Linked DNA regions of Cricetulus griseus. The protein of the gene in region 1 purifies or fractionates together with the protein of each later gene. This does not show direct contact. Links are inferred from orthologs where the notes say so. Each region holds a gene or a part of one and is shown in the gene's direction. Other genes may lie near its edges. The genes, in order: Fgfr1op2, Strn and Pdcd10.

Region 1 (10,718 bases):
CAAGTATTAAAAGTCTTTGGGCCGGGGCTGGCAAGATGGCTCAGAGGTTAAGAGCACTGTCTGTTCTACCAGAGGTCCTGAGTTCAATTCCCAGCAACCACATGGTGGCTTACAACCATCTGTAATGAGATCTGGTGCCCTTTTCTGTCATGTAGGCATAACACTGTAAACATAATAAATCTGATTTAAAAAAAATCTTTCGGCCATTTTTAAAATTAGACTTATTCTTGCTATGAGTGATTCATCAGAAGTACAACTTGGAACATGCTTCCTCGAGGTCTAGCTTGTTTCCCACACTGTCTTGGCTGTCTGATAGTCCTCCCCCACCCCCATCTGGATGAAACCTGGTTTATCAGCAGTTTTTTATGTTTCATGCTTTTGGTATCATGCCTAAAAAACTTTGACCATCTCCAGATTACAGAGATTTTCTTTGCTCTTTTTTCCCCCTTATAATAATAGCATTTTTCATTTTGTATTAAAATTTGTGCTCCATTTGGGAAAAGCTTTCTATAAACCATAGAGCTTTATATAAACCAAGTAAGAACTGTGTTGGGATTACTTTCTGGCATATAGGTGTTGAGTTCCATTTGTTGAAAAAATGCTGACCTTAGCAAAAAAGAAAAAAAAAATGTACACAGATGTGCAGGCACTCTTGATGACCAGAAGAGGGCTTCAGATTGAAGCTCAGGTTAGTGACACTTGTGAATGCCTGACGAGGGTCTTGGTGTCTGAAGTGCCATCCTTATAGCTGAGCAGCCAGCACTGTTAGCCACTGGGCCGGTCTTTCTAGTGCCTGACATTCTTTGACCTTTGCACCTTGCTACTTTGTCTTTTGACTCTGTGTAGCCCAAGCTGGCCTTGAACTCACCCCACCACACTCAGCTCCCTTTGCACATTTTCAGAAATAAATTGGTTACCTTCCTGTGGGCCTATTTCTGGGTCTCTGTTCTGTCTCAGTGTATCACAGCCATCTTGTTGCTATGCTTTATGTAAAGCAAGTCTTATATCGTACACTTTGTTATCTTTGCAAGAGAGTTCCAGTGGTTCTAGTTTCCTTGCTTTCTGTAGGAATTAATTATAAAATCAGCTTGTCAGCTTCTAGCTGCATTAGACTGGAAATCTCTTGGCTTTGTTATATTGTGTCTATAAAGCCTTGAGCACAGTATTTTCTCCACACACTTAGATACTATGTTTTCTGTTGACGTGTAGTTCCCAGCATATAGATCCTGTATATATTTGATTATGCCCGAGAATTTCATTTATCTATTATGTCTATTATAATGTATATGTAATTATAAATGTAGCTATTTTAAATAGTTCTAGGACTATTATTAGACGCTCATTTCTTCTTGTGACTTTTTGGCATTGGTGGGTTTTGAGGAGTTAATCCATGTAATATACATTATGTAATTTTTGTATATGTAATTCTGTTTCCAAGTTGTCATTGCTAGCTTATGGAAGAACAGTTGGTCTCTTGGATCCTTTGGGCTTGTACTTGTATCTTATGGACATGCTAAAATCATGGATTGTAGGAACTTTATGTTTTACATTTTTAGTCTTTGAAATTTCATAGACTGTATTTTGATTTTATTCACCCCCAGCTCCTCCCAGATCTCCCCACCTCCTGCCCACCCACGTTTGTGTTCTATGTGCAGCTCACTTGACTCCTGTCTCCTTTTAAAACACACAGAGAGAAATTGTTTTTCTTCTTTGGGATTTTCAATGCAGCAACATGGACTACAAACTACAGTTTTCTTGTATGTATCCCAGTTGACATTTTCCCCCCTGTCCTTATTGCTCTGGTAATTCAACAAGATTGGTATTTGGAGCATCCTTACCTTGTTATAATTTTAGTGAGGAAAGTATTTAGTCTTTTACTAAATTCATGAGAAATTTTGCTCTATGGTTTATTTTGTTTTTCTCATTCCTTTTATAGGGTAATGTTAAGATCTTTTAAATGCTGAATTGCTTTATGAATCTAAAAGTTTTTGGTTTTTTTCTTCTCTTTCCTCTTATTCTTATTTATGTGTTTGTTTATTTGAGATAGGGTCTCTCTTTGTAGACCAGACTGGCCTGAAGCTCACGAGATCCATCTGCCTCTGCTCTGGCGTGCTGAGATTACAGGTGTGGACCACCATGCCCTGCCCCCCATATAAGTGTTCTAATCTCCTTAAAGAGACTGTATATCCCTGTTTGTCTTTGTTTTCTGAGATAGGGCCTCTATTGACCGGCCTGACCCCTGGACCAGACACTGATTTTACCTGTCTCGTGTTCTGTTTTGTTTAACGTGTGTGTGTGTGTGTGTGTGTGTGTGTGTGCCCCAGGTGCATGCCTAGTGCCCATGGGTTCACAAAATGGTGTCATGTGCCCTGGGACTAGAGGTGGGGATGGTTGTGAGCCACCCACGGTGCTCACGATACAGGAGCAGCAGTGAGTGCTGAGCCCTGTCTCCGGCTCTGGTGTATTTTAAGACTTGCCACTGAAGCTCTCTCGGTCTGGAGCCTTTTGTGCAGAATATTTTTAACTCCAGTTTCTTTACTATTTAAACTTGTTAGAAAATAGCTGTAGAAATGTGGTTATGTAACTCCAGTGGCTATAATAGTTACAGGTCTATTGCTGGTTATTCATTTCTTCTTGTAGGACTTTATGTCATTTGTGTGTTTTGAAGAACTAATCTTAGTTAGGTTTCTGATGCTGTGAAGAGACATAAGCACGGCAATGCTTATAAAGGAAGCGTTTAATTGGAGTGGCTCACTTGCAGCTTCAAAGGTTCAGTCCATTATCGTCATGTCAGGGAGCATGACAGCAGACGTGGTGTTGGAGCTGACAGTCCTTAGATTTTGACTCAGAGGCACAGGAAGTTGACTGATTGTCACACTGAGAGGAACTTGAGCAAGAGACCTCAAAGCCCGCCCCACAGTGACACACTCCTCCAACAAGGCCACACCTCCTAATGTGCCTCTACCTTTGGGGGCCATTTTCTTTGAAACCACCACAGATGTGTTTAATCTAAATTATCTAATTCATGTATATGAGATGTTAGAGTGAAGTATGGCTCTGCAGTGGTTTCTCTTGGTCTTTAAGGGCGTGGGAGTTGAGACAGATTGTGTGACCCAGGGTGGACTCCTTCTTTTGATGCCCTGCCGCAGCACAGACTCTTGGGTACTGGGATTGCAATTATGGGCCATCACCACTGGCTCTTCATTTGTTCTCTCTCCTTGGTTATTCAGTCTCTCTTGGTATCTGTCTCTACCCCCCATAAACACTCACACACCCTCTTTGCTTTAAAGAACGGACCTTTAGTTTTACTGTGTTTACTTTCTTTGCTTCTATTTACTTGGGGTTTATTCTGCTCTTTTCCTACTTTCTCTAGGTTAGGACTTGGACAATTGATTTCAGATCTTAGATTCTAACACAAACAAGATTTCTCTTTAGTTCTTTTTCAGGGTCTTCGCTGTGTGCTCCATAATTCTAACATCACTCAACTTTGTATTTTCTTAGATCCATTGGGCTGTTTGCTCTTAGTTTTTATGTACATGTGTGTGTCTGTCTGTGTGGGTGTGCACACATGCATTGGAGTGTCTGCCTACCAGCTGTGAACTAAACTACAGTCCTCTGCAAGAACAGCAAACTTAACCACTAAACCGTCTCGCAGTCCCAAACTGAGCTTTTTAAATTTTTATTTGTTTATTATTTGAGACAGGGTCTCACTGTGTAGTCTGGCTGCCCTGTAACTCACTGTGTAGACCAGGCAGGCCTTGAACTCACAGAGATCCACCCAGCTTTTCTGAATTCTATATCTGGCATTTCTTCCCCCCCACCCCCCTGTTACAGGGAGGGACCCTTGTTTTTTCAGTTTTCTGTTATGCTTTGGAGATCAGCACAGCCTGTCAGTCGGCCTCCACTGAGACCACGGTTGGGTGTCAGGTTATGCTTCTCAACAGCTGTGCTCTCGGGGATGCTGGAACTCTTGTTCGCCCCATCTTGCAGTGGGGAGGCTTGCCCTCTGTCCTGTGGCACCATGCAGCAGATGCCCAGTTGTTGTGTCAATGCTGCTGCACTGCTGCCCCAGCCTGGGCTCCTCAAGGCTCCCTCTCTCTTGCTGCTGTTAAGCATTGCCCTTGACGACTCCTGCAGAATGCAGCTGAGCACCTCCTGCTTCTCTTCCACATTCAGCCACCTCAGCATCCCCTTCAGTGCCTCTTTCAAGCCCATTGAAAGTTGCCTGTAGTGGCCAATAATATTCTTTGTGGAAACTGCAGGAATTGAGATGATGGTGCCACTTTACATAAGACGCCATAGCTCATCCCGGAGGAGGCTCAGACTTGGACAGAGCAGGGAGAATTCTTACAGTCAGATTTGCATTTAAGCCCATAGTATCCCAACAGCCAGAACACGATATTTGTAAATGCCTTTCTCTCTAAATCATGGACAATGTTAGGGGAAGCTTAAGAAGGGCATCTGTGATAATGTGGAGCTAAGGTGACTTTAAGCCCTGGTCTTAACTTATTTACTGTTACTCCTTTAGAAATGAGCTGCACGATTGAGAAGGCACTTGCTGACGCCAAAGCCCTTGTGGAGAGGCTGAGGGACCATGATGATGCAGCAGAGTCTCTCATCGAGCAGACCACGGCCCTCAGCAAGCGAGTGGAAGCGATGAAGCAGGTTTGACTCTTCTTGCTGGCTTCACCGACATTTGAGTAAACTTAAGTCATGAATGTCTTAGTCAGTGTTCCATCGCTGTGAAGAGACACCCTGACCACGGCAGCTCTTATAAAAGAAAGCATTTAGTTGGGGCTGGCTTACAGTTTTCATCACGGCTGAGAGCATGTCAACACAGAGCTAGAGAAGTAACTGAGAGTTCTACATTCAGATCCACTGGCAACAGGAAGAAAGAGGCTTTGGGCTGGGAATGAAACCGCAAAGCCCACGCCCAGTGACACATTTCCCCCAATAAAGCCACACCTCCTAATCCTCTCAAATAATGTCACTTCCTGGTGACCAAGTGTTCAAATCTGTGAGCATCCCAACAGCCAGAACACGATATTTGTAAATGCCTTTCTCTAAATAATGGACAATCTTAGGGGAAGCTTAAGAAGGGCATCTGATGATGTGGAGCGGATGGGAGCCATTCTCATTCAAACCACAGTAAACAATCAGATAATTTCTAATTGCAGTCTTCACATAGCATCACTTGTGTGTTTGCTTCACTGTGGACTAGGGTATATTAATCGTGTTCACTAACAAGTACATAGGTTTATTTTAAAATCTATGAATTTCATCCCTCTTCTGACAGAATTGCATATTTGAGTTAAATAAGTGAAACTGTTAAATCTAAATACATTTGATAAGGATCAGACAACACGTTTCACTAGTACTGGCACACATTAGATATTTGCTGTATTATATAATGTTGAGATGTTTATACTTTCCTTTATAAAAGTACTTGGGTGTTACTTTGTTTTTTGTTTGTTTGTTTGGTTGGTTTTGGTTTTTTGAGACAGTTTCTTTGTAGCTTTGGAGGCTGTCCTGGAACTCTCTGTAGACCAAGCTGGCCTTGAACTCACAGAGATCCGCCTGCCTCTGCTTCTTGAGTGCTGTTCAAAGGCGTGCACCACCAACGCCCAGCAACCAAATAAGTTTTTTTAAATGATGTAAAGAAGTATCTAATTTTCATCCTGTGCGGTTATTTCAAGTTCTTTTTTTTGCTAGCATGTTTTAAATTTGTCATTTACAATAGGAATTAAGTAGGTTTTACTTCTTGCTACTGGCATGTAGAGGAAACTCCCAGTAGATGATTGAGTTCAGCTACTGTATAAGCTGTCCCCCCAGAAAGACTTCCAACTCTTAAGGAAGCAGCCCTAGGCAGGCAGTGGTGGCAGACAACTTTATTCCCAGCACTTGGGAGGCAGACACAAGTCCGAGTTCAAGGCCAACATAGGCTACACAGAGAAACCCTGTCTCAAGAGGGTAGGGGGAGAACCTGAACTAAGGCTCCTTAAAAGTTACCAGAAATACTGGAGCAAGTCCACTTACTCTGTTTTATACCTGCATCTCCCTAAAGTGGTCTGCTCCTTGACCATCCGTCCAGATGACAGTAAGCATAAACCTGGTAGTGATGTGTTTTACAATCGGACTTTGACACCTGCAGTTAAGAACCAGGAGTGTTACTGTAAATATATTCCCAGCTATCCAGTAAGAATGCCTCCAGAAAAAAGAATAATTCTAAAATTAAGATTCCTGCTTTTTTTAAAAAAAATTCAAAATCCAGCCAGCTGTTGTGGTGCACACCTTTAATCCCAGCACTTGGTAGGCAGAAGTAGGTGGATCTCTGTGAGTTTGAGGCCAGCCTGGTCTACATATTGAGTTACAGAACAGCCAGAGCTACATAATAGACTTTATCTCAAACCTACCCCCACCGCCCCTTGCAGTGCTAGGGATGGAACCTGGGGCCTTGCTCATGCTAAGCAAATTCTATGCCGGTCAGGTCAGTGTGTTTCTGGCTTCCCACCCTCTCTACTCCCACTGACCTCTCTCCCAGTGGATTTGCCTGTTCGAGACCTGTAGACACTTTGTGTGCGTAGGACATGAGCTGTGTGGCTTTTGTGATTGGCCTATTGACATGTTTTAAATTTCATCTGGTTTCTCGTATGTGTCAGTCTTTAGGGGATACAGCATGTCTTGTTTCTTCTCTCTTGGGTCAGGGTGTGGGTACTCTAATTCCTCTTTTTTTCCTATTATGAGTATTGGTACTACGGATGTTTTCTTTTCCCTAAGGAAGGAATGTTGGGTCATGTAATGCCTCTGTTTCACTCTTAAAGGGTCTGTTCATTTATATCCATATAGCAGGTAAAAATTTGCAAATATTGACTTCCTATGTGTTCTTTTTTTTTTTTTTTTTAATCTTCTCATTAGTATCAGGAAGAAATCCAAGAACTCAATGAAGTGGCAAGACACCGGCCGAGGTCCACGCTAGTTATGGGAATCCAGCAAGAAAACAGACAGATCAGAGAATTGCAACAGGAGAACAAAGGCAAGATAGATTGTCGTGAAAAAGACCTTTAGTCTTCCATTGTGGTACTAGTTTGGGACTAATAAGTATATTCACAAATCGGAGAGGGGCTGGAGAGATGGCTCAGTGGTTAAGAGCACTGTTGCAGAGGATCCAGGTTCAGTACCCAGCACCCACGTCAGGCAGTCCTGGCTGCCCATCATTCCTTCTCCAGAGGATCTGACACCCCCTTCTGGGGCGCAGGCATGTATGTGGTGCACAGACAATGTAGGTACTCACACATGCACGTGAAATCAAATAGAATCCTCTTTTAAGTGGGGAAATAGTGAGCTGAAGTCCTCCTTTCTATTTAATCTCCTTCTTTGGTCTGTGTGACGAGGAGGCGCTCTCTCTGTGCTCTGCCCTGCTTATCCTCTTCTCAGCTGCTTCTCACATCTGGTTTACACCATTTTGTTACCTGTGAAGAACTGAACTCCACTCCCTGCCGTGTCCCAGTGTGGCTGCTCATATGCTCTGCTGTACCTGGAGACTTTCACTGTCAGCTTTCTCTCCATCCTTCAACACAAGCCCAAGTCCAAACTCCCCAGAATAAATGTGGCCATGATGCCCTTGCTTAAAATCTTCTGTTTTGATTTTATTTCCTTGTCAGTTGCTGGTCTCTCTTCTGCCCACTTCACACAGCTCTCCTCCACACTGTTTGTTTTGCCTTTCTACCTCAGTCTCCTAACATAGCCTTCACTTTCATGCTCCTTGCTGAAGATTCTCGTTCCTTTAGCTAGCGTTCACCATAAGAGCTCAAGTTCATTGCAGTGTGATAATTCTGTGGAACTTTCCCCAGTCCAGCCTCATAGCTCTGAAATGATTTTTAAGAAACAGTTTTAAATGAACACTTTAAAAAGCTAATGAGAGATGTCTCCAAGGATTAAGGGCACTTGCCACCAAGCCTGTCAGCCTGTGTTCCATCCTTGGAACCCGATGGAACCCCTGGAGGAAGACAAAAGTCAATTGCAAATTGTCCTCTGACCTCTGCATGTGCCATGGCGTGTGTGTGTACACACAACACACACATACACACACATACCCACACACATATACACACATGCACACACACACAGCATAAACCTTTATTTCAATAAAAAGTGGTGAGGGGCTTCTTTGCTGCACGGTCTCTTTTAAGATGTCATGTATGTCAGTGTTTTGGTAAATATGATTTGGGAGAGTATAATCTTAGCTCATTTCAATAAAGCACATTGTTCTCGATAGAACTGCGAACATCCTTGGAAGAGCACCAGTCTGCCTTGGAACTGATAATGAGCAAGTACCGAGAGCAGATGTTCAGATTGCTAATGGCCAGCAAAAAAGACGACCCAGGTATAATAATGAAGTTAAAAGAGCAACACTCAAAGGTAATCAATCCAGTCTACGAATTTGACTTGAAATGAAAATTGGGGCCATTGGTTAATCGATGTTTAGAGTTTAAACAATGAAAAAAAAATCTAAAATTGGTGTGATATGATATATAATTACATCCCCTTCTCCCCCCCCCCTTTTTTTTTTTGACAGGGTTTCCCTGTGTAGCCCTGGCTGCTGTCCTGGAACTCAACTCTGTAGACCAGGCTAGCCTTGAACTCTTGATCTTTCTGCCTCTGCCTCCTGAGTGCTGGAACTAAAGGCATGTGTCACCATAGCCAGAAATACCTCACATTTTTAATTGACATTTTCTTTCATCGTCACCACCCTGCCCCCTATTTCTTGTTACATATTGTATTCTCCTTGGCTTATTCTTGTAACTCACATTACTCCTTATTAACAGGGTCTCACTGTGTAGCTCTGGCTATCCAGGAACTCACTGTGTAGACCAGGCTAGCCTCAAATTCAGAGATCCATCTGTGTCTGCCTCCCTATTGGTGTCCTTAGTAACTTTAAAATGGTGTGTCTGTGTGTGTGGTGTCTGTATATGTGCAGTAATAAACTATTGTAAAAATAAAGGTGTGTTTAGTTTAAAATTACTCTGTGAGATTCTCTGCTTTTAAGTAGAATTTTCCAGTGAATCTGTAGTGCTACCTGTAACACAAGCAGAAAATGGAAACTTTAAAAGTCTGTGCACTGCTGAGTGCCGATTGTTTCCCTGAAGAGTCCAGTCTTCATGAGAAGCCATGGGGTTGGGGATCCTTCATGTAGATGACATCATTTGAGAAGCAAAGCCGAAGTAGTTAGAGCACTTTTGCAGTTGCTTGAATTGCGGCCATTTGGGGGCAGTTGTCAAGACAAGCAAAATAGTTGTTGCTGTTTACATTAAACTGAATTTTAACTGCCAGTGGAAAATGAAAATATTAAACTAGATTGGATGACTGGCTTTGGATAATGGTGAAATAAACTACTTACAACTAATACTATTTAAGAAATAGTGGTAGTTATAAGATACATATATTTCTCAGTTATATTTTGGAATCTTTAAAATATTTCTTCCACATTGGCGTTTATATCTAATTATCCTGTCAGAATTAGATAACTAGTAGTATTCTTTGGGTGACAGTTATACATATTACGGACTGTAATAGCAACCTCATGTTGATTACTAAGAGAATAAAGGAGTAAAGTTGGGTTTAGTGTTACCTATTTATAATAATCATGCCCTAACAAAATGGAAACCCTTGGGTATTTAACTGGTCTTTTGAACATAAAGTCTATGGTTAATGTTAGTATTGGTTACAGAGTAGCTACTTCAGTGTATATCAAGCCATGTACAGTGACACATACCTCTTTAATCCCAATACCTGAGAGGTAAAGGGAGGAAGGTCGGGGTTCTAGGCCAGCCTGGTGACATGAAATTCTGTTTTAATTCTACCTTCCCTCTCCTAAAAATAAGTAAATGTGTAACTAAGAGAGTTTTTTTTTTTTAAGTATAAGAATTGAAATTCCAGAAGGCCCTCTTGTTTTACAATTTGAAAAACCAAATTTTTGAAGTTTTGAAAGAGTGAATACCACCACCACCACCCCAAAAAAGTGCGTAGAGTAAAATCTTGTTAGTCCCATATAGTAGTAACTGTGGCAGAGCGAATGTTTTCTAAAGCACATGAGGAGGTGGAGGCAGAGCTCCATGGTAGAGCATGTGCTGAGCATACCTGCAGCCCTGGGTTCAACCCCATAAACAAACCTATTGGGTGTCCAGTCATCAGTGCTGTCCTGTTAAAAGTTTAAACACTTCCTAAATAGCCATAAACCTTCCGTTAACATTTGTTGTGTAGATTGAGATGATCCAAGTGCTGATCCTTGCCTTCCATAAAGTGACTGTTCAGTTATTTGCTATTAATTCTAACTAATACATGTTAATGTTTGTGGTTTTGATTTTTCCCAAAAAGGAGACACTTTGACTAAGTAAATCAAACATTTATTAGTTATTGGATTAGTTGCTAGAGGCAAGAGCAAGGTTAATGAAGGAATACATCACATCACTGTTAAGTCTGCCATGTAATGGGAAGTACAAAAACAAGCATAACTAGAACATAAGGTAGAGTGAGGTAAAAATGAGTCATTACTATAGAAGTAGGAAGAGCAGTATTGGTTTCCATAAGCAGAGTCTGAAAGAAGGCAGATTATTTAATCTAGCCTTGAATCAACTACAGGAGTGGGGTATGCAAAACAGAGAAATGAGATAAAGGCACAGAAGTGCAGGACTAGACTTGGTTAGGCTCCAGTGATCTGA
Region 2 (10,718 bases), on another chromosome or scaffold:
TTGGTTCTTTTTACTCTGTTTTGTTCTATCCCATTTATTTTATCTTACATTATTATTATTATTTAAATTTCTGTTTTCTAGTGAGAGAGAAAGGGTGGAGATTCAGTTAGGGAGGGAGGTATGGAGGATCTGGGAGGAACCGGGGGAGAGAAACTGTAATCAAAATGTATTGTATGAAAAGAATCTGTCTGTCTATTTTTTATATTCCAATCCCAGTTCCCCTTTGTTCTCTATTCCGGCTCTCCCCTTCTTGCCCCCATCCCATCTTCCATCCTAGAGAGGGTAAGGCCTCCCCTAAGATGTCAACTAAGTCTGTCCCATCACCTCATTGAGATAGGACCAAGGCACCCCTCCCCATGTCTAGGCTGAGCCAAGGTATCTCTCCATAGAGAATGTGCTCCACAAAGTCAGTTTATGCATTATAGTTAGATCTTGGTCCCACTGCCAGTGGCTTCATATACTGCTCAAGCCATACCATTGCCATTAAGGGGTCCTAGTTCAGACAGTGCAGAGTCAGTGATCTCTCACTAGCTCTGGGTAGCTGTTTCTGTGGGTTTCTCCATCATTGTCTTGACTCCTTTTATCACTCTTCTTTCACTTTAATTGTACTCCTGGAGGTTGGCCCAATGGTTAGTTATAGATCTCATTTGCTTCCATCTGGGAAAAAATATTTTTAATAAAATAGAAATAGAAAACTATCATCTTTTAATAGCTCCACATTCAGAGTTTGGGCTGTACAGACTGGCTCGTCTGTGTCATACTGATTGCAGTAAAGATACTGGCATTGGTATGTTCTCACTTGAGGACTTGATGTGGAGAAGACCAAGCACTGTCAGAGTTGTTGGCAGGCTGTGTGGTTCATCGATGGTCATTGGCTGAAGACTTTAGTGTTGTATCACATGGTCCCTTGCATGGTATCTTCATGGCATCTAGTGTTCACACTCGAGTACATGTGTAAAGAGAAATGCAGTAGCTCCATGATTACCTTGGATTCTAAATCTTTTCATTAGTCTCCCAAGTTCTGGGATTGCAGGAGTGTCACAGCCATTTTAACATTTTCTGTTTCAAGTATATAAATCTCGTTTCCATCATCTCAGTGAAGAAAGAATTAAAGTCTCAAAACATGTTAAAAAAATGATTGTATTTTAAATTGACAAACTGTCTTAAGATTTCTATTGCTGAGTTGAAACACCATGATCAAAAGAAACTTCGGTTGAACAGGTTTTATTTCCGCTTACAGTTGCATGTCACAGTCTGTCATTGCAGGAAGTCAGGGCAGGAACCTGAAAATGGGCCAAAGCAGAGACAGTGGAGGAATGCTGATAGTGGCTTGATTAGTCTGTTCTCTCTCTCTCTCTCTCTCTCTCTCTCTCTCTCTCTCTCTCTCTCTCTCTCCTTAATTTTTGTTTTATTAGTTCAAATTAGGAACAAGCTTGCTTCAGACGTCCCTTCTCCCTCTCCCTCCCCTCCCCCCCAACATCCCACCTGCCCCTAGCCATCCCCCCTCCACTTCCCAGGCAGGGTAAGGCTCTCAAAAGGGGATCCCCAAAGTCTACCACATCATCCTGGGCCAGGCCTAGGCCCTTCCCCATGTGTCCAGGTCAAGAGAACATCCCTTCATATGGGATGGGCTCTCAAAATCCTTTCTTTTTTTTTTTTTTTAAGACCTTACATATTTAATACAGTGCGTTACCCCTGTACAAATGGAAAAAAATTAAGTTCAACATTTCTAGAACAATATGGGTGTTAATTTTTGTACAATGCCAACTGTTTTCTTAAAGCCCAGGACCACCCACCTAGGGGTGGCATTTGCCCACAGTGAGCCAGGCTTTCCCACATCAATTACCCATCAAGAAAACGCACCTCAGCCTTGCCCATAGGCCCGTCTGGTGGGAGCATTTTTTCCCGTTGAGATTTGCTCTTCCCAAATGGCTCTAGCTGGTTGACACAGTTGACATAAGACTAGCCAGGACACAGGCTTAAAGGGAAAAAAAGAAAAACAAAACAACAACAAAACCCAGTGCTTTGATCCAAATTACATTTTCTGTCTACAGTTTGAGTTGATTTGCTTGATTTTGAAAATACTCTAGTAATTGTTCAAGCTTTCTGTCGCTGTGAAGTAATAGCGTGAAACAAGTGACCTGTTAGGAAGGAAGGCTTGTTTGTGTTTCAGTCCATGTTGGTTGTAAGTAACCTGTTAGGAAGGAAGGCTTAGAACCTGTTAGATAAGAAGGCTTGCTTGTGTTTCAGTCCATGTTGGTAGGGCCAGTCACGGTGAGGTACAAGATTCAGAAGAAGTCACTTGCTTCATGGTGTTCAGGAAAGCAGGAGAGGAGAGACCTGGGCTTCTGCTTCTCCTAAGGGAGACCTTTCAGTGATGTCACTGTCGTGTCTAGGCTGCATCTGCTAAAGACTCCACCTCCTGGGAGTGCCACAGGCTGGTGACCAAGCCTTCATGCACATTCAGGGTCGAAACTGGCAATAGTAGAGATTCATTTGGGATCATCACTTACCTACAGTTTAGCTTGAGTTATGTTAACTGTTCTCATATTCCACATTTTTTATTTCTTCAATGAAAACTGCCACATGTTGCTAATTTTGCTAATTAGTTTTGTTGTTTGCTTTAAAAATATATTATTTTAATTGACGTGAGGGAGGAGCGATAATATGAACAAAGGAGACAAGACCATGATGGGGAAACCCACAGAATCAGCTGACGCAAGCTAGTGAGAGATGACTGACAAATAGGGAACCTGCATAAGACTGAACTAGACTCCTTAATATAGGTGACAATAGTGTGACTGGGACAACATATGAGGCTACTGGCAGTGGGTCCAAGATCTAACTCTAATGCACAAACTGACTTAGTGGAGCCCATTCTATATGGAGAGATACCTTGTCCAGCCTAGACACAGGGGTGTGGGGGTGGAGAGGTGCCTTGGTCCTGTCTCAATGAGATGATGGGACAAACTTAGTAGACTGCCTAAGGGGAGGCCTTACCCTCTCCATGGAGCAGATGGGAAGTGTGTGGGGAGGGGGAGGAGAGGAGAGGGGGGACTGGGATTGGAATATAAAAAATAAATTAACAAAAAAATTTAAAAAATATTGTTTTGAGAATTGTATAGTGTAATAGTTTATTAGCAAATCAGCTATTGCAACTTGATGTTTTATTTCTTTAATAGATAGCAAATAATAAAGATGCTTTGAGGAAGACGTGGAACCCCAAGTTTACGTTAAGAAGTCACTTTGATGGCATCCGTGCCCTTGCTTTCCACCCCATCGAGCCCGTTTTAATAACAGCGTCAGAGGACCATACACTGAAAATGTGGAATCTGCAGAAAACAGCCCCAGCCAAAAAGTGAGAATATTCTACTTTTACTCTTTTTAAGGTTTAGTTAAATTATTTATCAACAGGGAAAGACATATTTTAAGATAATTTTCTATTATAGTTCCCAAGTATCTCTCTGGTCCTTTATTCTTTATCATGTCATAGGTGAGTCCTCCAGACAGTCTAAGGGCTTTTATCTGATGGTTCCCAGGGGTTTGTGACTGGTGATTACAGTCCTTATATTATGCATAAGGGTTTTAAGTGGCTGTTTCATTTATAAGTGGGACTTCTTGCCTGTAATGAAGATCCCTGTTAATGTAAAGAGATATAAGTAGAAACACATAGACTCACCAAACCTCTGCTCTATTATTTACAAAGTTTGGATTTACAAGGTGAAAGAAGTGGTTAGGAACTTCTCTATGCCCTTAGCTTTTTCTCTGACAAGTTTTCATACTAACTAGTTTGTCTGAACTGAGGGATACTGTTTTCTTTGATTAGTTATTCGTTCTTAGTTTGGTGTATAAATGCCAGCAGGCACGCTGTCCTATAAACTGTTTCCTTAGTTCCCAAGCTAGAGTAGGTCTATTTGATGAGGCCTTTCTAGAGCTCACCCTCCATGAATCCATTCCCTTCATCCAAACCAGCCTCCATCAGCCAGGATCATTTCACTATGTGAGGCATAAGAGTACAACTAAGAAGAGTACAACAGACTGTAATACAGGGCACCACAGACGTTGTCCTGCCTGTAGAAGAGATTTCTGCTGCCCAAGTTAAAAGGCACCAGTAGCATCAGTGCCGTGAGTCACACAGGACAGGCAAAGTGCTGGATGCAGTGTGAGCAGAATTCAGATCAGGTCAGCAGAGGGGGTATTCCCTTTGATGTGCTGTACCTTTGCCTTTCCATTTCTCAGGTCACAGTGTGCTAGTTCTGGTTCCAGCTCAGTCACATGGAGCTAAATGTAAATGTCCAATTGAGGAAATAGCAGAAACAAATTAGCAAAATATCTACACATGCACATAATAGTACCCTAGTTATCTTTGAGCTGACTTGAGAAATGATAATGTGTATCTACAAATTCCTGCAACATGATGTAGAAAGTGGTGAGTTCTTGCCTTCAGCCAGTGTCTGTGATGAATCCTTGTCTGTTAGGTAACAGACACGCAGAGTCCTGATTTTAGTAATGAATTGATGGCTTGGGCAGTTTCCACAGAATCAAGGATAGATATATTAGCCTTCATGAAAACACAGGGAAGTTAAAGTACCGCTTGCTGAAATCCTGCTGTGTATAGTTCTGGTCTTAACTTTTTTATTATATTTAGATTCTCATTCATGTTGAATATTTGGTACTATCTAGATTTCATTTTATTTTAAATATAGGATAATTTGAAGTTCTGAAATAATAAAAACTTCCCTGCATTAGTTAATAAGTGATATAACTGGAAATCATGTTCTGAAAATTACCCTTCACGGTCCTTGTTTTCTCTCATGAATGATGTTCTCTCCCATTATTGGACAAATTCTAACAGTGTGAAGAGTCTGTAACATTAGTGGAGGAATTATAACAGTGTGAGGAGTTCTGTGTGATATTAGTGGAGGAATTGTAACAGTGTGCGAAGTATGTGTAACATTAGTAGATGAATTGTAACAGTGTGAGGAGTCTGTGTAACATTAATGGAGGAATTGTAGCACACTGTGTGATATTAGTGGAGGAATTATAACAGTGTGAGGAGTCTGTGTGGTATTAGTGGAGGAATTGTAGCAGTGTGAGGAGTCTTTGTAACTTTAGTGGATCAATTGTAAGGAGTCTGTTTAACAAGGTACCACTGCTAAAGTGGGAGTTTGCCCATATTTTGAAGATATAATTGGGATTAAATGAGCCTCTGTATCCTGAGGCTGAAGATGTTATTACCATGGAGACCACGGACCACATACAACTTAGTTATGCTGTTCACTGCTGAAATTTGGCATGCTTAAAGTCATCTTCTTTCTCTGGTTTAGGAGTACGTCTCTTGATGTGGAGCCTATCTATACGTTCCGAGCTCATAAGTAAGTATGTGGTTTTTCTTTATATTAAACCAGCATCTTTTTAACACAGTTTGATTGATATTATACATTCTTTCCCTTACATATTTTAATATAATTTTTCTATTTAGTAGTGGTGGGGCTTTTTTTTTTTTTTTTTTTTGTAAATGTAAAAGAACCTGGCAGGTAATATAAATACCAGGTTGAGTTCCTGGTATGCATATGTATTATAAATGGAAGTCAAGGTATTTAGGTTTAAGTACTAGCAATGCTAGCACTGGGTACTTGCTGCTCCTCCAGAAAACTGGAGTTCAGTTCCTAGCAGCCATGTGGAGTGGTTCCCAACATCTTGTAACTCCTGTGATCCAACACCACTCTTCTGGCTTCTGTGAGCACCTGTGCAGAGGTGACATACAACCACATGTACAAATAAAACATTAAAATAATTTTTAATAGGATTCTCACATAGTTTCTTCCTTAAACATAACCTACATAAAAAGTATTCAAAGTGTGGGGATGTAGCTTAAAGGTAGAAGGTTTGTCCCTTGTATATGAGGCCCTGGATTTCCTCCTGAGTATTGTATGCTCACACACATGCCACTTAACTTGCATTTTTAACCAAGAATTGTTTATAGTAATTACATATTTTCTTTTTTCCACTTATGTATAAGAGACATGTTTTCTCTCAATTTGTTACAGACATTGAAATGCTTTTTATGTAATGGGTGAGAAAGTAAATATTTTTCAGGCTTAGGAGACCATATACTCTTGGTGAACTTTTTTGTCCTCTTTTGGCTTTTGTTATGGATTGAACTAAGGGTCTTAATTCATGTAACATATTCTTGGTTTTGTTGTTGCTGTGTGTGCCGCTATTTTAACCTTTAAAAATGTAGAAAGCATTCATAGCCTGAACTACTAGATGAATTTGGCTTCAAGGCCATAATTTACCAGCCTTTGGTTTGGCAAAGAAAGAAAATGAGTAGTAGTACTTCATTAATGTGGTTTTTTGTTGTTGTTTTGTTTTTTGGTTTCTTTCTTTCTTTCTTTCTTTCTTTCTTTCTTTCTTTCTTTCTTTCTTTCTTTCTTTCTTTCTTTCTTTCTTTCTTTCCCAAGACAGGGTTTCTCTGTGTAGCTTTGGAGCCTATCCTGGAACTAGGCTGGCCTTGAACTCACAGAGATCCTCTTGCCTCTGCCTCCCGAGTGCTGAGATTAAAGGCATGTGCCACCAACACCTGACTCATTAATGTTTTTAATCATTGTTAAAAGCTAGTAAGTAGAAAGGCAGTTGAGTAATTAGAGGTTCTAAGTCTTAACAAGTTACATTGTAGAACTGACATTTGAGAATAGCAGATTACTTGACACCTATTGATCTATTTGATGTCCCAGAGGTCCGGTGCTGTGTGTAGTGATGAGCAGCAATGGTGAGCAGTGTTACAGTGGTGGTACAGATGGGCTGATTCAGGGCTGGAACACCACCAATCCCAACATCGATCCCTATGATTCTTATGGTATGTGCTTCACTGAAGTTCTGAAAAGATGTTGTCTTCTTACATTATTTTCCTAGTATACATTAAGGGTAAAATTATTTACTGGTATTTAAGAGACCAGTAAAGAGAAGTGTATCTTTATGTCATTCAGAAGGATTCCTGTACATAACAGGAATCAGCAGGATACTTAATGCTAAAGGTAAAAACATGATGTCCTTGGGAAGAGAGTTCATCTCTGTAGTCTTATTAGACAGAAATGCTGGTTTGGTTGACGCTTGCTTTCTTGATGTTAGACATCTGTCTGGTACTTCAAACTTTGCAACTCATCTGCAGTCATATTTCATTATTGTTTTCGACAAACAACTTTGAAGGTAAATGAATGGTGACATCATTTCTTTGCTCAGTTATTGGAGGGAAATGGGAGAAGCTAATTAATTTTAAAGTATGCCTCCAAAATATTTATTATAAAGGGTCCTAAAAACAGTTAAGGATTGGCCTCTCAGCTAGGTTTAGTGGTATAAGCCTGTAATCCCTAAACTTGCCAGGGAGAAGCAGGAGAATTGCTGTAAATTTAAACTGGCCCGGTCTATTTAATGAGTCTCAGACCAGTCTGAGTTTTAGAATAAATCCAGGCTGTCTGTCTGTCCTCCCTCCACCCTCAACACACACACACACACACACACACACACACAACACACACACCACACACACACACACACACACACGCATGCACACAGATGCTTTGGTTTTAAGAGCAGTGTTATGGCATGAATTCATATTATACTGTGTTTCTAGATGTTGCTATAAATTCCCTTGTAAAACTATTTAGAAATGGGCTGCTTTAAGTTTGAAGTTAATACAGAATGGTTTAATATGTCATGTTTGCCACTAAAGCATTGTAATGTTACTACCAAACTAAACACAGAGTCAGCAAACAAAAATCTCTCCTTACATTTATTTAATAAACGTTAAAATAAAGCTTTCTTAAGAAATCAGACTTGTGGTTCTTAATTCTAATTTAGAATGTTCAAGATCTGTATTTCCAAAACTGCTTGTAATTACGGCAGCATTTCAGAAGATACTGAAACTAGAAGACTGCGTTACACTGTGTCTGGGTGCTCTGTCTTATGTTTTACAGTGGATCCTAAATGCCTTGACAATTTTTCTTTCTGGTTTTGCATGTGCTCGTTTTCCACAGATCCTTCTGTTCTGAGAGGCCCTCTGCTGGGCCACACAGATGCTGTGTGGGGGCTGGCCTACAGCGCGGCACACCAGCGCTTGTTGTCCTGCTCAGCAGATGGCACTTTACGTTTATGGAATACAACCGAGGTTGCTCCGGCACTGAGTGTGTTTAATGATAACCAAGGTATAGTCTTTAAAGTTAAACACTTCCAGATCTTTTATTAAACATTCTACTCTGAAAAAGCAAGCAAATAAATGATTCTATAAACTCTTGAGTGTATAAATTTTAAGGCTTTTTTTTTTTTTTTTTAACGCACCAACATTGTTGCTTAACATTTCAGTGTATGTATAATTCTTAAAAACAGCATTTGAGGGGCTGGAGAGATGGCTCAGTGGTCAGGAGCACATACTATTCTTCCTGAGGACCTGAGTTCAGTTCCCAATGCCCACATCAGGTGGCTCACAGCTGCCTTAACCCCAGCTCCAGGGTGTCTCACACCTCTGACCTCAGTGACCTTCATTCATGTGCACATACCACACAAACATACACACACAATTGAAATAATAAAAAAACTCAGCATTTGATGAGAAGATGGGGTTTACATTTTAAAAAGTGAGACGTAATTTATTTTCCTTGAAGATTGAGGGCATCAAGGATGTGTTCTGATGCGTGAGGTGAACTGGTGCAGTCCTGGCGCTGGTATCAGTCTGGAGTGGGACCATCTCTTCCCTTCCCTGGGCTGCTTTGTGACCTTAGTCAGTCCCTGTTACATATCCCAGCTAGCGGCACCTGTTGTCAAGATCACTTTCATCATAGATTAGTTTTGTCTATTCTCACCTATAATAAAATAGCAGTTTAGGATGTTATCTCTGTGCCTGGCTTTTATTCTACTGTAACGTTTGTGCAGTTCAGTGTCAGTTGATTTCCCTTTATTATGTGAGAGTATTGTATTAAGCTATGGTCTGTCTATTCATGTATCTCCTGATAGACACCGAGGCTGTTATGAGCAAAATTGTTATAAAAAGTCATAATTTCCACGACCTATTCATTTATCTGGTAGTATTTACTGTTGTTCCAGTGTGGGCCTATTAGGAATAATTTATTATGAAGGTTCATAAATTTTCATCATGGGTAGTAGAGACCTTTCAGTAGACTTGTTGGGTTTTAGGGTGGGTGTTTTGTTGTTAAGTGAAATGACCACATTGTTCCCAGAGTGCTCATGGCACTTTATAACCTGGGCTGCAGCCTGTGTGAGGTCAGTTTGCTCTGCATCCTCACTCAGTCTTGATGTTGTCACTCTGGTTCCCTTCTGTTTCAGTGTTTAATTCTTTGACAGCATATTTGGTTGAGTACCATTTCTTGCTTTTCATTGACTATTCCTAGAACTTCTGCTGTACAGTTTTGAATCATTACCTTGCTTTGGTTAGGTGTTGACCCAAATGAAACATTATTTTATTTTTATATTTATCATTCTGTTTGTTTGTTTTCTTGTGACAGTGCCTCACTATGTAGCTCTGGTTCACCTTGAATTCATTGCCCAGGCAGACCTCAAATTCACAATCCTTGGGCTTCCACTTCCAAGTGCTTGGATTTAAGGAGTATGCTACCACACTGGCTTTATCATTCTGTTTTTGGTATAAATGAGTTCCAAGTTTGTCCCCTGATGATAACTTTTCGTGTTTGTGTGGTGATTTGCATGCTAGACAAATATTCCACCATTGAGTTACATTCCAGGCCCAGAACAACTTTATTCTTCAGCAAAGTCACAATGTGCACTTAGACTTTGAAGACATAACTCTGTGCTAGCAAGCACAGTACCACTGAGCTGCACTCCAACCTAAGTTTGGATTTGTTATTGTTGTTTTCTTTTCTTCAAGATGGATTTTTAAAATACTGAATTTCCACTGTGTTACTCTATGCTTGAAATGGAAGTGGAAGCTATAAAACTTATGGTCCATGTGTTTTATTTTCTTTCAAAATAAGTTTGCATTCTTTGAGTGGATTAGCAGAATAATGGGTAGAAAACATTTAACAGGTAAGGATAATAAAATAGACTAAGGCTAAAAGTTAGAAAAGAAATACTCTTCTGTGAACAGTTCTAAAATAACTTATTCTGATGTTAAGCCTGATTGATTAAAGTAAATCATGCTTAGTTTTGTTTTGCTGCATTTTGAGTACTTTCTCAAGTAGACCTTTTAACTGTCATCCTCTCTGAATATTTCTGACACTTAGAACTGGGAATCCCTGCTTCGGTGGATCTCGTGAGCAGTGACCCGAGCCATATGGTAGCATCATTCAGCAAAGGGTATACAAGCATCTTTAACATGGAGACACAGCAGCGAATCCTCACTTTAGAATCCAAGATAGACTCAAGTATGTATACCAATCTTTAAAAGTCTCTCTATTTGTTCTTAATCAAAAGTGTAACTGCCCAAGTCGATGTGAAGAATGATTAAATCATAGTGTTCTATTGCCCAAACCTAAAGACACTTTTACTTTATAGAAAACTTTTTTGGGGGGGAAGGGGTAAACTTCAGCACAGTCTAAAGCAATCAAAACAAACAACAGAAAAACTGCACCCAAAGAATTTATTCCATGTGGCCACCTGGCATTTTCTGTTGTATATTGAAATAACTATAAATTACTATAGTAATTAATATCTTCAAAAATTCTTAGATAGTGTACAACAATTAATTA
Region 3 (10,818 bases), on another chromosome or scaffold:
GTTAATAAGAACAGAACCATTTTCAGAATAACTAACTTACACAGTACCCACTCAGTGAGGTGGAATCAACTGTCTTCTTATCTATGGAAATACAAAAGTCTCACCAAGTACATTACAGTACTGGACAACATGTCTAACTGAGCAGGTGGTCACAGTGCAGCTTCCTTCTGCTGAATTTGCTCAAGATCAACATGAGATAGCAAAGAAGCATCTGGCCTGGACAGCCTAATGCTTTAGTTTCTAAGACCCACATCTCCTGAAGAAGTTAAGGTAGCAGGATCAAAATTTCAAGAGTAGCCCAAGTAATTTAGTAACATCCTATCAAGCAAAAACAATGAAAGCCTAAGATTTCAAATTCTAAATTTAATGAGTTAATAGTTCAGTGGCGGAGTGCTTACCTATCATGCCTAAGGGCCTAGCTTCAATTCCCAGTACTGACAATGACAATAAAAATATAGTGCTTTACATGTATGAAAACGATTATTTATACATCCTATAAATTAAAAAATACAATTACCCAAATTTTAAGGATGAAATGTGGAAAATATTAGCTGTATAACTAAAAAAAGGAAAACAAATTCTTATCTGAATAAACAATTGATCCAGATCTCCAAACCAGTATTTAGCCTTAGGAAATTTTGTAAAAATAAAATAATTGGTCCTTGTTTATATTGACTGTTTAAATAACTCTGTTAAGGGAATAAACATCACTTTAGTTTTCATTTCTTTTAAAAAATTTGTCCAAATAATAGCATGATGTATTTGTTTTGCCTTTACAACCTACAATTGTTTAAAATTTAATGTATTAGTGACTTGGTGACTCACAAGGGTAAAAAAGTAATGCCTACCTTATGGATGTAGGTTTGTAGAAATAGGTGGTTGAGAAAGGAAAGGTCATATTCTCTTACATTAATTTAACAAAACCCATCAAGCATCTTTTTCTCTCCTGCCAAGGGTATACTTCTCAAGCATTATTTTTCTTTAAATATCTATTTTTCTGTGTCCCATTCACACCAAAACCATTTGATCTTGAACCTGTATTTTTTCTGATGTCGAAGACAGTCACCAAACCTCTTATTAGAAATTTATTCCAGTTGGTTCAGTTTTCAGTAGGCTTACAGTCAGAATTTTATTTAAATTTAAAGAGAGGTCAGAAAAATAATGCTATTTGAAATTAACCAAGTCCTCTGGATAAAGGACAGTCATCTCCAAGTAGTTTCCATACAGGAGAGGCAGTCTGCACTCTGCTGTCTTTATTTTTCATCATACCATACACATAAACAACAAAAAGTCAGATGAGCAGGATAAATAATCTGCTTTTTAATCATAGTTGATATTTACATAAAGTGAATGGCCTTTCCCAACACTAACCAAGAAAACAGTTTTGGTTATTTGAAATAGAATGTGAACATCAATTAAATTGGATGAAGAGTTCAAGGTTAAAAATAATTGTCCAAGCATGATATGCTAATAATGACTTGCTCTTATGTAGAAATATGTCCTACTTAATCCCAAAATGACACAAGAACCTTGCCTCATTCATTGAATTCTTAAAAGAATCCAATCTTGAAAACAGGGAAAGATTACACTTTAAAATTACAATCTATGAGATTGTAGTTATGGTATCTCAGACCTAAGATGTATATAGCTAGGAGAGACTCAAAATGCATCTTCATTTCAGCTGTTTTCCTGCCAATTATCTTCTAACCATTTTCTTGGTTACTGACTGATTTTCATCAAAAATTCTATCTGAAGGTCCTTCAAAAAAGGTTCTGAAGAACTTCATTATCAGTCATGTAACTCGCTCCATTATGTGCAGGGAATAACCTAGAGACAACAGGTATTCAATTTCCAAATGAACCAGCCGTGGAGCCATAGCATCGCAGACTCTGACTCAGGACTATGCACCTACATCACAAATAACAAGGGCAAGTACCATCCTTTCCAAGTGTTACTAAACCACCAGATCACATTTTTCTCTCCCCAAATCATGGTTTGGAGATCACACCGGTTAGATGGCTACACCAATGAACAGGTCTCCAGTAGTATACCAAAAACAATATACATCCTGAATGTGGCTGCTTAAGTTTAGTGGCTTCTGTTGCTTTTTCTGTCTTACAAGCTCTTTGCTTCTTCTCATACCTCCATGATCCATTCACTCTAAGCCTAGATAATTTTGTTTGTTTTATTTTTATTTTTTCAGATTTGTCTGGTACACAGTTCTTTGGCATGTGAGAATGTAGGAGGGAAGGATTTAATTAACTTAGGGATGTAGATTTCTCATCAGTACCAGAAATCACTAGGACTGAACCTGAAGCCATGGAAAGAATATCTTTGGGCCACTTCATTTTAAAAAGGCATTTTGTATGCATTACAAAAACAAAATACAAAATCCTAAAGTAAATCAGAATAGCAAGACAACAGAAAAAAATAAAAGGTAGTTACTGGATCTTATTGACCATTCTTTTAAAAACATAAAAGTATTCTGACATCCCATGGGATAGTCAACTGTCAAAATAAAGGCATTCCAGAGGAGATATGCTGCAATATGCTATTATGATTAATAGGAGTATAATCTGGGGTACTATGTAACAACAACAAAATGAACTAAGCTGATATACTGTTACTACTTTTTCAAAACGAAAAGGCTGTAATCTGTCCTAGTTACACAGAGGTAGGGGTGACTACTATCTTCACCAAGTATTACAACATAATTCCACCCATATTTATTAAACTTACATTTAAAAGTATACACATGATGAGAATGAACTATCATTTTATACTATATATACATGCATATACATATATATATATATATGTATATATAATCGGAACCCATTGCAACATACTAAAGGTTATCATTTTACAGCTACTCTCTTCAACAGAGGAAAGCTCTTCCACACAGCTTCCCTTGTACTCCTGTTTTAAAAAGACGAACAAACCTTACCGGACACAAATGAGAGAATAAGGAGCAGCGATGAAGTACACCATATGTTTCTGTTGTAGGCTGAATCCAGGTCTTTGTTTCAATATTCCAGCGCCAGCCGGGAAGGAACGCTAAATTAACCACTATTCAAATTTATTCTCTCATTATTGCGGTAAAAGTTATACTTATGATAGGTTCAGCCCAAACCCATCCTATCTTATTATTTGCTTGTTTAATCCAGATTTTTTGCAATCCCAGGAACCTGCAATACATAATCGCCCTGGATAACAGGTCCGAAGCAGAACAATCTGATAAACCAACACAAGCGGCAGGCACTGAAGAGAACAAAGTTGTTTTCCTAGCGAAATAGTTCCGAAGTGATTCTATATCAATGCCATTTTTGCTTTTTTATCAGCTACGCACCTATCTAGACACTGTCCACCTGGTTCTCAATTAACAGGGCTTTCTTCAATCTTGGGATCTCCCAGACCAGTTTTAATGGTGCAACTCAAAACAAAATCACTAACCGCGCCCTTATACATCAGAAGGAATTACCTTTTGCCTTTTTCTCCCAACTATAGTCCAAAATTGCACATCGTTCCCCTGAAAGGGGTTGCAATGCTATCTTAAGCCAACATAACACTCTTTCAGCTCTGCCCTGGCGTTCCTATTGTCAGATGCCGTTCTTCCCCCGGCGGTGTGCTGGCGCCGGCAAGGGGCACCCACGCTTACCTCCCGCACACCTGCACTCCCGGGCTCGGGATGCTGGAGAGGATGCTCGGCGGGCTGTGATCGCTCAGGATCCTGCTCCTGCCTCTCTCCGGGGAAACTACAGAGCAAGCAGAGCCTAGGCTTCTACTGAGACTCAAGCTCCGCCTTCCCCTCCTCTAGTTGGCCGGACCTCGGGCTCCGGCTCCTCCCTCTGCCGTTTGCGCAACCCGAGCTGCAGGCGGCGCGAAGCCTTACTGAAGCAAGTGTCTCGGCTCCTGGTTCTCTGTCCACCCCCCCCTTCCCCCCACCGCACCCACCCACCCTGAGTCGCACCTGGAGCTTCTCAGGTCAGGTTTAGCCCCCTCAGTGAGCCGGCCCAGTGTACACCAGAGTGGGCTGTCCTAGGGAGTACTGACGCTTCAGCCCAAGCGAAGCCCACGCCTCACCCTCCCTCCTCCACCCCCCACAGTCCCCAGAGGCTTCCTCGCAGCCTACCCAGGCACCCAACCCAGCTGCCCGTCCCCTGCCACCTCTGGTCCCCCGCCCCTTTCCTTCCACTCATCTGCGAGCCCCGCCCATCAGTGGGCACGGCGTCTGAGGGCCGGCCTTGCCTTCTGATTGGTGCAGGTGAGAGCCGGCCCCGCCCTTCCTCCGTTTCTGGGCGCTCTCCCTCTCCGTCTCCCTTCCTCCCGTGAAGGCAGGGAACTCTTTTCTTATTCGCTACAAGTGTCCCCACCTATCGCCCTAGGCGTTCTTGCGGGTCCTTCTGGGAAATGTGGTCCTAGGTCTGCAGGAAGTGCTGACGGAACTGGCGGGCGGAACTACGAATCCCCATCGGGCCTTGCGCGACTCCGGCTGGGCAGGATTCCGGACAACGCCTGGTTCCTCTCGGGTCCTTCCGGCGTCGCCGGAGTGAATTGATCCGGGAGTTGAAGAGGGCTCCAAAGGTGGGAAGTGAAGTCCGTGCCTCAGTTGCTGGTAAGGCGAGCTTTCTCGGTTCGGGTCCTCACGGCTCCGCCGGGCAGCGAGCGCGGCTTGGGGTCAGGCGGGGGCCGAGGCGGAGACGCTGGGGCTGGGCTCTGGCCGGAGGGCGGACGGGCGGGGAGCGGGGCCCTCTGGGCGTCAGCGAGGTCTCTACGCGAGGTGCGTAAAGCCGGTTTGGAAATGCCGCTTACCCGGCGCGGCCCGGCACCTCCAGGAAGTCCGCTGTGGGTGCGAGCGGAGGGGAAGGGTGAGGTCGGCCTCCCGAGTCCCCGCCGACAGAGGGGGCGGATGTGCTGGGGTGGGGTCCCCGGCAGGTGAGGCTGGAGCTGTGTAAGGCCTGGAGAGAGCGTGGGAGCCCGGGAGTCGGCTCCCGGAGTGACTGGGGTTATGCCCTTTGAGGAAAGAGGAGAGCCGGTGTTGACAGTTCCGACTCAGTTCCAGTTTCCTGATGTGGCCTCTCTAAGGAGGTAACTCTTAACTAGAAGTGTTTGTCCCTTTTAACTCTCATACGTCAGATGGCTTTACTCCTGAACTGTACTCAAAAGCGCTTTCGCTTTGGGATGCTTCTGAGAAAACTAAAGGAGTAAATGACGTGTCCAAGGTCACACAGATCTTCTGAATCCAGTCCGCTGAAAGTCCAGGTTCTGACCAGAGTTGTCTGCTTAGATAGAAAAGTGGGGAGTTGCTTGGTAGGTGCTCGAAGCGGATAAAAGAAGTTGCAAAGTTGAGTGTGCGTCTCAGAAACGTTTGGGAGGTGAAGAGTTGGTTGCTTGGGGTGGAGTGAAATCCTTCCCAAAGCAATCTTCTTTAACGGTTTGTTAAAAAGGGAAGGGTTGTTTTTTTTTTTTGTTTTTTGTTTTTTTTTTTTTTAGCTTAGATATTTACCCTTTTTCCGAAACATACTAAATGATAACACAACTTCCATGAGCCAAAAAGATAGGTAATATTTAGCAATAAGCTCAGCGTTGCCATTAAGAGAATAGTCCTTTCCTGATTTCTGAAACTAAGATTAAAGTACGGATGAAACTTTGACAAAACTTATTTTACACATTTTAATGTTTTCATTGAGTGATAATTAAATGCAGAATCATGGAGAAGTTATAACATGGTCGTTACCTGAAATGGCTTTTTTTTCTGTCTGAGGTTTTTGGTTCTCATTTTCTTCACTCCATGTGTAAGTAGTAAAAACCAGGACTTGTGCATTTTCTTTTTCTTGGCATCATCTGTGACTTTTAATTCATTCTTAATGTTAAAGAACGGGAAAAAAAAGGATGCCTGTATATTGAGTAAAAAGCAATGCACTTGTTTCAAACAAGTTGACTAATTATAGCTGATAGATATTACTAGATAGGTTGTTGATAGAATTGTACTTTTTTATTGAAGACAAGGTTCCTTTATAAGATTATACTCATAAACATGCATATTTATAGTTAGTAGGCATCATATTATGTAAATTAAAATATTAAATACATATATACTGTAAATAAATACACAATATTTTGAATGTTTTGCTTGCCATGATTAATACTAACAATTTATTTGATTTTTTTAATGCAAAACTTTTCTGGGGTCAGAAGAATCTTTGTTCCTCTATGGTTCAACTTAATATGGACTTGTTTTACTCTGACCTTTAAAATAAATGGAGAGGTATGGTATTATAGAATGAGACAGAAATCAGGAATGTAACACGCTGCATACATATAATACACAATAAGGAAGAAGCAACTAAACAAAAGGAAAATTATGTGGGGTTGATTTTGAAGTAGATTAAAATGGTGCCTTAGTTTGAGTGGGCCATATATAAGTCTAAACTTGTAAAGCAAGGATGCCAATATATTTTCTAGATGACTGTGGACATTTGCTGTTTGTGGGAAAGGTATGAAATGAGTTTTAACATAACTTTGTGGTTCTGGAAAGACTTTCTTTTTTAACTTTTTAAAATTTAAATTAGAAACAATCTTATTTTATATATCAATCCCAGTTCCCTCTCCCTTCCATTCTCCCATGCCCCCCACCGACCCCCATCCCATCCCTTTTCTGCTCCATAGAAAGGGTGAATCCTTCCATGGGGATCATGAAAGTCTGTCACATCATTTTGGGCAGAGCCTAGGCCCTCCCCTGTGTGTCTAGGCTGAGAGAGTATCCCTCTATGGGGAATGGGCTCCCAATGGCCTATTGGGACCTAATGGTCCATTAGGGATAAATGCTGTTCCATTACCAGAGGTCCCATAGACTGCCCAGGCCTCCTAACTATTCAGGGGGACTGGTTCCATTCTATGCTGGTTTCTCAGCTATCAGTCTGGGCTCCATGAGCTCCCCCTTGTTCAGGTTAGCTGTTTCTGTGGGTTTCTCCAGCCTGGTCTTGACCCCTTTGCTCATCCCTCTTCCCTCTCTGCAACTTGGATTCCAGGAATTCGGCTCAGTGTTTAGCTGTGGTGTCTGCTTCTGCTTCCATCAGCTACTGGATGAAGGCTCTATAATGGCATGTAAGGTAGCCATCAATCTCATTATAGGGGTTAGAGCATTTAAGATAGCCTCCTGGAGAGAATTTTTTAATCAAAAGGAAAAAATTAGTTCTTGTCTACTCTAAATGTATCTGTGTCTCTGAGGTCCATTTTACCTGTAGTGTTTGATCACTACAATTGTAGTGCTGAAATGAATGATGTTATTGCTGTATTTAAAATCCTTCAGTCGCTAGCTAGAATTCACAGTGGTTTGTTTTACCTGTAGTGTTCAGCTCTTGGTGCCCACATTTGTTCTCTAAAGTAGCTTTGCATCAACTTTCAGATATTATTCTTCGTAGGCCTTTGGAATTCTTCCTTATATAGTCATCTCTCTCTTAAAGGGTAGTCTATAAGAACAAGAGCGGTGTATTAGTTATCTTTATAGCCTCAGCTGAAGAATAATTGAGTGGCTCCAGAGAGTAGAAAAGGCTTGGGTTGGTTTAATGACTTGCCCAATGTCATACGATCTATAACACATCCAGGTCTTTTGACAATAGGTATTCTGCTCAAAACTGTGATTGTTTTATGTAAGAAAAAGACAGACCATTACAGATGTTTAGATATCATGACCCTCTTACTCTGTTTAATGCCACCAGTTTGTCTTCTATTTCTGTCCCAAATGGCTCCAATCTTATCCTCAACTATTACTTTGCTAATACAAGATACTTTCTGATCTGGGGACCGTTTTACAAATCCGACCTCTCCACCTGTCCTATTTCATCTTCCCTTTCCCAGTGTGGTTGATTCCTGCAAAGCCTGGCTTACTCTGAATCCTCCTTCTGCAAACCAGGATAGGTTGCTGCTCTGTCTTCCCTGTATTCTGAACTCTATTGGCATTGTCACAGTAGGAACTTACTATTTCTATACTGATTTAATATTTGGTCATCTTACTAAAGGTTATCTGGACAAGGGATTCTCATTTGTTAGAACTTAGCCTACCTCTTAGACTATTTAGCAGAGAGTATTCAGTAATTGTATGTTCAAGCATAGTACCTCCAGTATTGTGCTAGGGATAGAAATATACAAATGAATGAAGATACAGGAATTTTCAAATGAATTTAGGAAAAATATAAAGAAGTTAATGCCAGAAGTTTAATGTAAAGTATATAAAAGTACTTTTTCTTGGAGATCTCTCAAGTTTAGGTAAGTAATTTCATTGTGGAAACATAAAGGAGTTGGTTTCTTTTTTTTTTTTAACGGCAAAATTTCTGTGTAGCTCAGCATTTTAGAAAACTTGCCACTGCCTTGTATTTTTAAAACAAGCAAGATTCATTATAACAAAATATAGACATGGAAAAAAACTTTTAATGGACACTATTCTCTCCTTTATCTTTCTTTTCTTTTCTCTTCAAAACAGTTATTTCACTTGCCTAGCTCCCAGGACACCAAAGATAGAAGTAAGTTTACACATTCAACCTAGAATGCAATTAAATTGCTGAAGTCTTAGAAGGACTGGAGCCAAGATTTGAGGCTAGACCTGTTTCTGTGCTTCCTAGGTTTTGTTTGGTTTTGGTTATAACCAGGATTTAATACAAGCTTCTTGAGAAAAGATGTTTTTGGGAAACCAACTTTCTAATTTCAGAGGAACTTATATTTTACCCTCCTTAAAAGTTATAGTTGAGGGGTTTAAGATAATATATTACTAGCTTTGAATATGACACAAGACTAAAGGTGTTTTTAAAATTTTACAAACGAAATTTTAAGGATATAGTAGGCTAGATTTTTGTCTGGAAAACAAATTGTATAATTTTTCATATTACCACACTATTGCAATAAAGTACATTCAACAGCTCTGAATTACTTAGCCTTTTATTCATTCACATTTACCAAAAGAGTAGTATCAAAAGTGGCTGCCTTAAATTTTGATAATGTACTAAGGTTTATTACTGAATGTGTCTGTACTAAATTCTAAACCTGGTACTTTTAAAAAGTTAGTCTGAATGTTATTTGAATCATCAATAAAAACTTTATTTCACTTACGCAGTTTGCAGGAAATTAAGCTAAGCTATTATTTATATGTTGTTAGAATGTTAGGGTTATTACAGTAGGTATTGTTACTAAGAATTTTAAGCCATATATGTGAATTTTTCCTCTGAAACATGTAGAAGATGGTGTGATTTTTATACTTTATTAATAAAATATTTATACACATTCAAAAGTAACAAAAATGAAAGCGTTTCCGTTGAGGCAATTAGAGGTAATTTATTTGCTGAAATTTGATTAATTTCATAGTTAATTTTATATAAACATAAGAATTTCATTTAAGATACACAACACAACTTGGCTGGCCATCACATTAATAGTATTATTTTTCAAGGACACATTTACATTTGGAGTATGAGATTCCATTTTTTTAAAACTATGCCAAAGAGATTTGAACCTATTTAATCTACTTTGTAGTAACTTAGAATCTGGTGTTGCTTTAGGGATGGGGGGGGGGCGACACAAAGAATTCTTATCATTGGGTCACACTGCAGTATTCGGTAAGCACTAAAAAAACTTCCCTTTTCCTCAGTTAGAATGTCCCTTGGGAACAAGTTTACCATAGGTAAGTCTGAATTTCATAGTAATAATCCCTTGGTTCATTCACCTACATATTTGTTGGGTATGTTTTATGTGTGAAATTATCTACATTGGAATGCCCACCTACAATTTTTACAACTGCCAGAGGAAGTAAGAGCTCTATTATTTACAATTTGTGAACAAGGAAAATAAAATGTACAGAAATAAGTCACTTGCCTAAGATCACAGAATTCATATAGAGATACCAGGTTTTTGATCATTTCAGTAAAATGGTGTTCATGGTTAAAGGCCTACTTGTAGCATTAGAGTTGCAGTGACAGAGAAATTGTCCCTTAGATGCACACAGTTGTTATTTAATGAGCAGGTTTACACTTAAAAATCTACTAGGAATTTAGTCCATACAGCAGAGACTAACAGACCCCTTTTTTTTTCTATCAGTGAAATATATTACTTTGCTTTAGATTGGTAGGTTAAGTATGTCATTTCCTACTCAGATGCTGTTGGAAAATATATATAACCTGGTATTACATATCATAATTCCTTACTAAAAGTCAGGTCTGGGAGCTGCTCACACAGAGGTTCTCTGAGTTTATCAGGGGAATGGTAGTCCATTTTCTTATCTCAGTCTGGGGCTTGTGTACTTAGAGAATTCCTACCACTGCCTTCCTAGCGTAGGCATGGCTTACTAGATGCAGCAGTGCTCCTTTCTGTCACTATTTCTTCACTGACTGTTCACTGCACTCTCTTCATTTTCAAGGGGTCAGACTGACTTCATCTTCTATACCTTCAGCTAGCACTGTTGCTGACATAGACCAGGCAGAGTTCTTTGACAGGTACTAGGAAATTGAAAAATGGGTACATTTTCTAGGAGTTTAAACTTGAGAAGATAGAGAGGAAAGGAGATGTGAAGATCTTATCTTTGACATTTTAATATACAGCACTTGATATGCATCTGTTTGTTTGATAATTAGGAGCCATAGTTGATGTGGAGGGACAAAACCTAGTTTCTCTAACTTGCCATTTGGCTCTTTGTGCTGAAATGCCTTTTTCTGTCTTACTCAGCCATCCTGCTTTGATTCAGGATGACTTGGAATCCAGCTGTGATTGGATTGAAGGAATGATAAAACCCTAAAATGTTTTTACCCTTGCTGCCTTCTTATGTAAGGTTGT

The links.
Region 2: the proteins of Fgfr1op2 (region 1) and Strn purify together in Homo sapiens (affinity purification with mass spectrometry; 4 studies listed by BioGRID and IntAct, with this or other methods). This does not show direct contact. The link is inferred for Cricetulus griseus from reciprocal best matches to the Homo sapiens genes FGFR1OP2 and STRN.
Region 3: the proteins of Fgfr1op2 (region 1) and Pdcd10 purify together in Homo sapiens (affinity purification with mass spectrometry; 3 studies listed by BioGRID and IntAct, counting the BioPlex papers as one, with this or other methods). This does not show direct contact. The link is inferred for Cricetulus griseus from reciprocal best matches to the Homo sapiens genes FGFR1OP2 and PDCD10.

The regions. Positions count from the first base shown.
Region 1 is NC_048601.1:3,101,690-3,112,407, reverse strand, and holds part of Fgfr1op2 (FGFR1 oncogene partner 2), read left to right. Parts: intron 1-1,738; exon of another isoform or gene 1,739-1,757; intron 1,758-4,528; 5' UTR 4,529-4,530; coding exon 4,531-4,665; intron 4,666-6,915; coding exon 6,916-7,033; intron 7,034-8,275; coding exon 8,276-8,418; intron 8,419-10,718. UniProt on the Homo sapiens protein: May be involved in wound healing pathway.
Region 2 is NC_048600.1:5,366,278-5,376,995, forward strand, and holds part of Strn (striatin), read left to right. Parts: intron 1-3,182; coding exon 3,183-3,358; intron 3,359-5,327; coding exon 5,328-5,375; intron 5,376-6,737; coding exon 6,738-6,859; intron 6,860-8,036; coding exon 8,037-8,204; intron 8,205-10,253; coding exon 10,254-10,394; intron 10,395-10,718. UniProt on the Homo sapiens protein: Calmodulin-binding scaffolding protein which is the center of the striatin-interacting phosphatase and kinase (STRIPAK) complexes.
Region 3 is NW_023276806.1:78,249,120-78,259,937, forward strand, and holds the start of Pdcd10 (programmed cell death protein 10), read left to right. Parts: upstream 1-4,463; 5' UTR 4,464-4,615; intron 4,616-10,818. UniProt on the Homo sapiens protein: Promotes cell proliferation. Modulates apoptotic pathways. Increases mitogen-activated protein kinase activity and STK26 activity. Important for cell migration, and for normal structure and assembly of the Golgi complex.